Caenorhabditis elegans: one gene and its partner. The protein of the gene in region 2 purifies or fractionates together with the protein of the main gene of each other region. This does not show direct contact. Each region holds a gene or a part of one and is shown on either strand. Other genes may lie near its edges. The genes, in order: F23F12.13 and T06D8.2.

The links.
Region 1: the proteins of T06D8.2 (region 2) and F23F12.13 fractionate together in Caenorhabditis elegans (co-fractionation; one large-scale study listed by BioGRID). This does not show direct contact.

Annotation. Positions count from the first base shown.
Region 1 is NC_003281.10:6,493,437-6,497,361, reverse strand, and holds the start of F23F12.13 (Major facilitator superfamily (MFS) profile domain-containing protein), read right to left. Parts: upstream 1,690-3,925; 5' UTR 1,682-1,689; coding exon 1,592-1,681; intron 1,546-1,591; coding exon 1,466-1,545; intron 1,410-1,465; coding exon 1,156-1,409; intron 865-1,155; coding exon 719-864; intron 619-718; coding exon 488-618; intron 437-487; coding exon 118-436; intron 1-117.
Region 2 is NC_003280.10:11,224,999-11,228,923, reverse strand, and holds the start of T06D8.2 (UVR domain-containing protein), read right to left. Parts: upstream 2,246-3,925; coding exon 2,157-2,245; intron 1,606-2,156; coding exon 1,465-1,605; intron 1,419-1,464; coding exon 1,280-1,418; intron 1,229-1,279; coding exon 1,049-1,228; intron 1,004-1,048; coding exon 862-1,003; intron 805-861; coding exon 737-804; intron 690-736; coding exon 602-689; intron 545-601; coding exon 272-544; intron 219-271; coding exon 1-218. Other genes in the region: plpr-1 (Phosphatidic acid phosphatase type 2/haloperoxidase domain-containing protein), read right to left, coding at 2,681-2,852, 3,390-3,532, 3,586-3,762.

The DNA of each region.
Region 1 (3,925 bases), on a different chromosome or scaffold from region 2:
TATTTCTGAGTCTATTTGAGACACAGCTTCAATTCTAAATTTAAGTGAGACGTACAACTAGGAAAATAATGTGATCATTACTTTACATTTTAGTTAATAACTTCAAAATGCACTCACAATTTTTGCAAATGCGGTCACCGCACCGGACACAAACTGACTCAAATAAAAATTTCCAGCCAAATTCCCAGAATTCAAGTCAGAACCAAACGCTGATAAACTTGTAGAGAACCACAAAGATCCGACCACAATTGTACGATATGCAATTGTCCAGGAAGTGAATAAATCTTTCATTGTATAGATCTTCGTACTCTTCTCTTCTAGTTTTTCAGATATTTCTATACTTTGATCTTCGTCATTGACGTATGGGATCCCTGATAGCCATGCAACACGTTTCTCAGCCGCCCTTGCGTCTCGAAATCTCTTTTTGGTATTAAACCTAAAACTTCAGATTAAAAAATATAATTAATTAAGAAAAGTGAGGGTTCACCATTTCGGGGACTCTGGTAAGATTAAAAGAACTGGAAGAATTGGGAGTGAAAGAAGTGATGTGGCAATTGCAGCAGATCTCCAGTAGCCACAGATAAAGCAAGCAAGAGTGAAAACTAGACGAGCATAACCCTAAATATTGTATATAAGATTTATTGCATTCAGTTAAATAATATTTATCTATTTTTCGAGAAGTGCCTGAAAGTCGCACTACTGGTTAATGAAAACCTACCCAATTAAAGAAAGATCTCAAGAAAACTCTTTGCTCAGGCTCAATAAACTCCAGAATATATGCATAGAATACAATGAGAATTGAAGCAATCGAAGTACCAACGATGAATCTGAAAGCGGCAAAAACTTCCCATGATGGAGCAAATCCTGAAAAAGAGAAAAATAATAATTTCCATAATCAAGAATGCAGTTGTGAAAGTCGATTTTTTTCGAAATTGTAGTGTTAGAAATTTCGGTTCAATAGTTTCATAGCAAGTAAGAATTGCAAAAAGTATTCGATCAGGATGAGATTCGAACCCACGCGGGAAAATCTCAATAGCTGTCCACCGCCTTATTCGAATACTTTTTGAATAATTTGCTTTCATAGAAAGGTTGATAAGAATATAATCTTCAACTTTGTTTTGAAGTAATACTTTCTAATTTTCTCAAAATGCCAACCTGAAGCTACTCCGAACAAAATTCCCACAGAGATTCCAAAAAATGAAACAGGTTTTCTACCAAAATGATCACCCAAATGTCCATAAGTAATAGCTCCAATAAGAACTCCAATGAATTGAATAGTGGCTACCCATGCAGCATCATAAGCTTTTGTTCCACAAAACATTTTAAAATCCTGAACCATTGAGTGGAAAGGAGCTTCCTCAATGACTATTTTAGAGCAATTTGCTGTGAGTTCTGAGCATATTTCTGATCTGAAAAAAAGATGTTCCGCGTAGTCCGAAAAACCCAAATTTCAGAGCAAACTTACTTTGAAAGCTTGCATTTCGGTTTTGAAAACTGAAAACTGGGATCATCACAAGACAGGCCTGGACTGAAATTGTAGAAAATCTGAAAAAAAACAAGATTACAAGGCAATTTTCAATTATTTTCCTACCGAAAAAATTTGCTGGCAACAAAAGAAAAGTGCAAATTGCCAAAGGAAAAAACATAACCAGTGGAAGCGATTTGTGTTGAGAAATGACATTTCTGAAAATTTTAATAATTTCACAAAAAATCTGGTATTGAATTGGTGTGCTCGCTCAAGTTTACTGCTTAATAAAAGAAATGGAAGCTTTTTCAAATAATAACTGAAGACTGGTAATTTTAAAGTTGCAGCCTCATTTTACATAATCAATTTTGCATAATTAATTGAATACTTTTCTAGTAAAAAAAGGTAGGTATGGTCAGCCTGTGATTAATGATAGACCAATTACGATTATGGTGCAAACACTAAGAAAAATGTGACAAGCCGAACAATCTCTTATCAGTTTGAAACGTGATAAACTATTGGGACTTATCAGCTGAAAACGAGAGAAAATGAAAGAGAATCGGCATTTTTTAGCTGCCGGTAAAATGAAACAAAACATTATAGATTATGTTTCTTTTTTTCTTTATTAAACTGAAAATGAAAACATTTTTTGCGAAAAACTCGTTAACCTAAGACCGCTATACGATAGACACAAACAAGATCGAGGAATTATATAAAAATATAGCGTTAGATGGTCTTCATATTTCACTACAAGATCCTAAAAAGATATCCCATCTTGAGTTTTAGCAAGAAAAATCTGCTTTTGAAAAAACTGCAATAAATTCATTTTTTCCTATTTTTCGATATTGCAGAACATTATTTCCCTGATCTCTTGACGAGCAATTTTCACGAGGTAGAATTATTGAAGGAGAATTTTATTGAGTTTGTTTTTTCAGCTTACGAAAGTTATGGCTTCCATACTTTTAAAATTTTCAAATACCCAGTCAGCAACTTTAAATTTCTTATCAAGTCCAAGTCGATCAAAATGTTCATTTTCTCTTTGATTCAATGATGCTCTAAAAGTTAATCCTATCATCTACTTTTATTGCAAAAAGTCACACAAAAGTTCAAAGTATTCAAGTCAATGTAACAGTTCTATCAGTTACGGCAGAAATGGAATTCCAAATACTAAAAATAGCTTGATCATAATTATTTGCTCCAGATTTTCCAGTTGAAGACATTTGAATAGTTGCTCGTTCTCATTTCTTTGATTTTATTCGATTGAAGAATAAAATCGAGAAAATTCCAATTATAAAGTGATAGGTAGGTACAATCTGGAAATTATTCTCAGTTAAAATTAGGCTCTTTGATCTTCGTAACCGTTGCGAATATTGTTCGAATACCAAAAAGCAAGTTTGGTTCAGAGATGATTAGATTCCCCAAGTACCGGAAAAATATAAGTCCGGATGCATTAAATTGCAAATGAAAATATATAAATTAAAATTAAGAGAATAGAAAATTTAGTAGTCTGATAAACTTCTTCGAGTTGATATTTTGCAGTTAGAGGAGAATGAGTAAGTTTCTTTTTAAGTTTAATGTTTTTACGAAGTAGAACCAAATTAAACATGACATCAAGTAGATTAATTAAAAATAATACCACATAAAATGTGAATACCTGAAGTTATTATTATTTAAAGTTTCAGTATACCTTTTTTCAAACTTTCTCAGCCGTGCCTGGAGGATACAAAGAAAATGCTACATCGCCATGAGAAAACGTTTCATTTTTGTAAATTTGAAAAATTACTCCGAAATTGACAATAACCTGAAACAATGTTACCTTATCCTTGATCTTTAACTCCAATTTTACAATGAATAAAACAAAAAGTGGTCCCAATATGATTGGCATTTTCTCATATTTTTCAGATTTGTTCATTGCGTAATATCTTTCAACTGTAATTGTGAACGGGAAGTACGCGGAAAGTGTTACTAAAAAACAGATGGGAAGATTTCCGATCTTATGATGAAGTGAAGGAACTATTAGATCACAACTCCTAATAGCAGTGAGTGGCCGAATAAATTGAATTGTCTGAAATATTTCCAATTGTACTAAAACTGAAATTACTAACAGCCCGACCGCGGTTACTCCATATACTGTCGAAAATAAAATTAATGTTATAAAATAGCAATAAAATATAACCTTCAAATTTCCATGAAAACTTGATTTGGAAAATTTGAAAGCTAAAAAATAAAACAATGGGAGAATTGAAAGATATGAAATAATCATTTGATAAATGTTAGATGCTCTGAATAATGGATGAAGTGCCAAATTAGCAGCCTTGGTACAGGCGTCGGAATCATCGTTCATTTTCGGAAAAGTAAGTATAAATGTGTATACAATTTTATTTGAATAACTTAGAATACTATGTAATAAATTTTCATGATCATAAATTGTGTGACGATAAACATAAAGATAATATAAAG
Region 2 (3,925 bases):
TCCAAAAAGTGAAATTGCTGATCTAACATTTCCACGCTGATCCGGAGGAACCATCGAAAGAACCTGCTCTTCAGTTATATCATCCGTGGATTTATCCACAAAATCTTGAGATTCTAGATGTACAGAAGACGATCGTTTTCTGTTCAAGGCGGCTGGAACAATCATATTTTCTTTCTCAAGGAACTTATTTGTTCCCATTCCAATACTATTGCTTCTTCCTGAAAATTGGATTCAGTCTGACATTCTGAAATTAATTTTTCAAGTCGCTCACGTCTTGAAGAAGAAGAAGTGGAATTCGATGATGAAGAACTCGGAGCCTTTCTGACAACTGGTGATGGAGTCCTTTTTCTTGAAATTTGAGAGTTCATAGTAGTCGGCCGAATCGGAACTTCCCAAGTTGTACTACTTCTTCTAGTTGACACGGAGTCATTTGTTTGGGGTCTTTTCGGGGTTACAGTTCTTCTGGAAGAACTGGAAGAAGGTGGTCTAGGTGGGAGAAGGAATGCAGTAGATGGATCAGCTTGAACTTCAGTTGGGGAAAGGTCTGAAAGAATGTTGGAGTTAACTTTAAGTGTTAAACTTTTTTTTTGAAAAAACTCACCAACTGGTTGATAAAGCTTCGGTTTGGAAGGCAGCTCCGAGTTCTCTGGGAAGAGATTTTTTGGCCGATGTATCTCTTCATTTCTCGGCTTTAACTTCTAAACGTTAGTGAAATAATATTTATAGAATTACGAACCATGGTATCCTCCAGCAACCGTGGATCAACTGATGCAAGGATATTCGATCGTAACGCAGTGATTTCATCTGAAAATTGAAGAGTAGGGGTATTAGTAGAAGTTTGGATATGCAGCAGTGACATACCTTGTAGATCATTCGCCCTTTGAAAATCCTCATCAGCTACAGCCTCGCCTTTATCATTTTCCAGTTCTTCCATTTCTTTTGTAGATTTCTTCAAATCCCGAACAGCTAGTTGAGCTGATTTTGCTAGCTTGAAGTCCTCATTCTACAAGTTATCAATTTGATCTCCACTTTTTTAAAACCTACCTACCGCAACAGCCGTCTGCTTATTCCTCTCTATTGCACCAATCATTGCTTGAAGTTCTTTTGAATATTTGTGATCTGGAATCACATTTTGCGGAATCCCCGGTTTGAAATCTCGAGGATCTGCTTCAATGGGCTCGTCAGATGGGAGATATTTACCAAAAAGCTTGACATCGACTAGACCAACCTTAACATTTTTGAACTTTATACTAGATCTTTTGAATTACAAAGATTCAACCAAAGATTCCAAATTATTGATAACATCTGCATGGGCTTCTGATACACTTAAAAGCAACATGGAGCAAATTTCATCAAGAAACACATTTTTCAGCTCATACTTTTGATCGTCACTTTTCCTGCTCTTAAACTGAACATCCCTGGAAATGTGGAAGCTAAGATTACTAACTTTAATAATTGACAAACCCAATATATCCTTCCTCGTCTCGGCCAGAGTATATCGAGATTTTTTTCGGTATGAACTTGTTATGGGCAACAATTTCTATCTTCTCAATTTCACTCTTTTGACGGAGATGAAGCTCAATTTCCACTGGGAAGGTAAGGGATCTGAAAATCAGAAAAATGAATATTCTAGTATGTTTTGTGTTGAGATGTTTGGTTATTCTTGAACTCTGAAGTGTTTTGAAATTTTGTTTTTGGGAGCAAATTTTTTTTGTTGGAAAAATAGGACCTTGAAAAAAAAGTAGCTCCGGTTTTGAAACTGTAATACAAGAAAAATCAAAAAGATCCGCTAACACTTAGATTTTTGCCACAAAAATGATCGAAAATGAATGAATGTGGCTGAATTAAAATTTCATAAGAAGTTGCCTTTACGCGGAAATTCAAATTTTTGAATGAAACTTGATATATTTTTTAATTTTGCCTGCCTACTACTAGTCCTGCTTATTGCCAAAACTTGTACGAATTCACAAATTTCAGATAGTCCAACATGACCAAGATATCCTAAATAACCCTCCATACATTTTCAGACAAAATTTTACTTATAAAAGTGACGGCAAAGTTTTAACATACTTTAAAAAATGTTGATAACTGCAACTAATCTTATCTGTTCTCAGTTGATAGTTTTCAAAATTCTACTGGAATTCTTCAAAACTCACTTTTCAGAAACCCACTGTTTCTCCAAAAGATACTGTTTATCGGAATTTGGCACTCCGCCAATATGCGAGACAACGTACTCCAGCTGCATACGACTTATGACTAATATAACGAAAACACATCTCGACCATCTTCAGACGAGCTCCATGGAGACTGTTGTCAAGACGGGCACAAAAACATACGAAATTTGAATAATTTATTGTTGAAGGTTTGAGTGGTGCAAAACAAAGCAAAAAAAAAGAAATAAACGAAAAAATTGTAAAAGCAAAAAAAGCGAAAGACTGCCGGGTATTCAGAGACATAGAGAAAATGCCGCATTCCGCTAAGAGCACGGTATATACACATACAAGAGAAATTTATTTAAATATCATAGTTAGATTAAATATTAATTTAAAAAATAATTAAGTGAGAGCGGGAGAGAAAGAGATGAGAAATTCTTTTTGATGAGCATAACAGAATTAAGAAAAAAACTGGGTTTCTGGGATTGGAGAAAATTAGAGATATGAGATTTTGATAGTGTATGCACCTAGTACCGATATCCATCATTTTGATGTCCCTGCTGCTGTTGTTGCTGCTGTTGTGGACTGATGGTTCTATGGAAGGATTCCGTTGTTGTCGTCACCTCGTATTGACGATTTCCTTGGTTATGACGGTTTCGCAGTGTGCCGTTCGGCCGCTCCACGTCTTCCTCGTAGACGCTAAAATTAGGTGATTGGACATATTTTATTGGATGTTTCCTAACTTTTGGAAATATGGAAAAGTATAAGTATTTGAACTAGACCATTCTAGAACGCCAAAAATTGGCGCTGCAGTTCAAATTTTAAAGCTACAAGAATATTAGAAACTCGTAAATTCGCGCCACAACGTAGAATAGAGGTGATAGGCAGGCGGGGTTCAGACAGGTTCTGAAGTTGCGCCTGCGCACTATACCTGCCTACTTATTACCATGTTGCGGAATATTGCGACCTTGGACAGAAAAATACAATTAACATTTTTTGTCTGATTCCCTTTTTTATTGCAAAATCTATGACTTTGTAGAAAATTCAAAGAAATTTCGAAATCCTTCTAGATACTGTATCGGCGAGGTCTTGATCGTTTCGAGACCCGATACTGTATTTTTATGTCAAAAGCCAAAAATCTTATGGGTAATAAAACCGCAGTAAAAGCTAAGCAACAACTTATTTGAGCCCATAATTTGAAACCCTAGATACTCTAACAAAAACCTGATAACTTACACATATTCCTCCTTCACCGACGGAGCCTGAACACGTGGAAGTCTAAACCAACTGAAGAACGGCGAGACGCGCTCCTCTTGAACAATCGGCGTACGTTCGATAGTCATATGGTAGACTTCTTGGAAGCACAGGACGCAGTAGCACTGAACAAGGATCATAGATTATATTGCATTTCTAGCCTACTAAAGGTACTCACCAAGAACCAAGCCATGAAGATTCCGATGACCCATGCGACCCAGATGTCACGCCAATGGTTTTTGTATCCGTTGATACGGGAGAACGAGTCGACGATGCAGAGTCCCATGAATCCGAAGATAAGGAGTGGGCGGAGAAGTGGGGCTCCACGCAAGTTAATCATGTAGTAGATGTAGAGCTGGAGAGAATTAAATTTTGAAAATTTAAATTTCAATGATCGAATTTTTGATTCTTTGGGGGTACCCGGGCTCTATTTAGACAACCTTTAACATATTTGAAATATTTTTTTGTTTAGTGTTGAAGCAGAAATGAAAACGCCGAGCATGGCATTTTGATCAAAC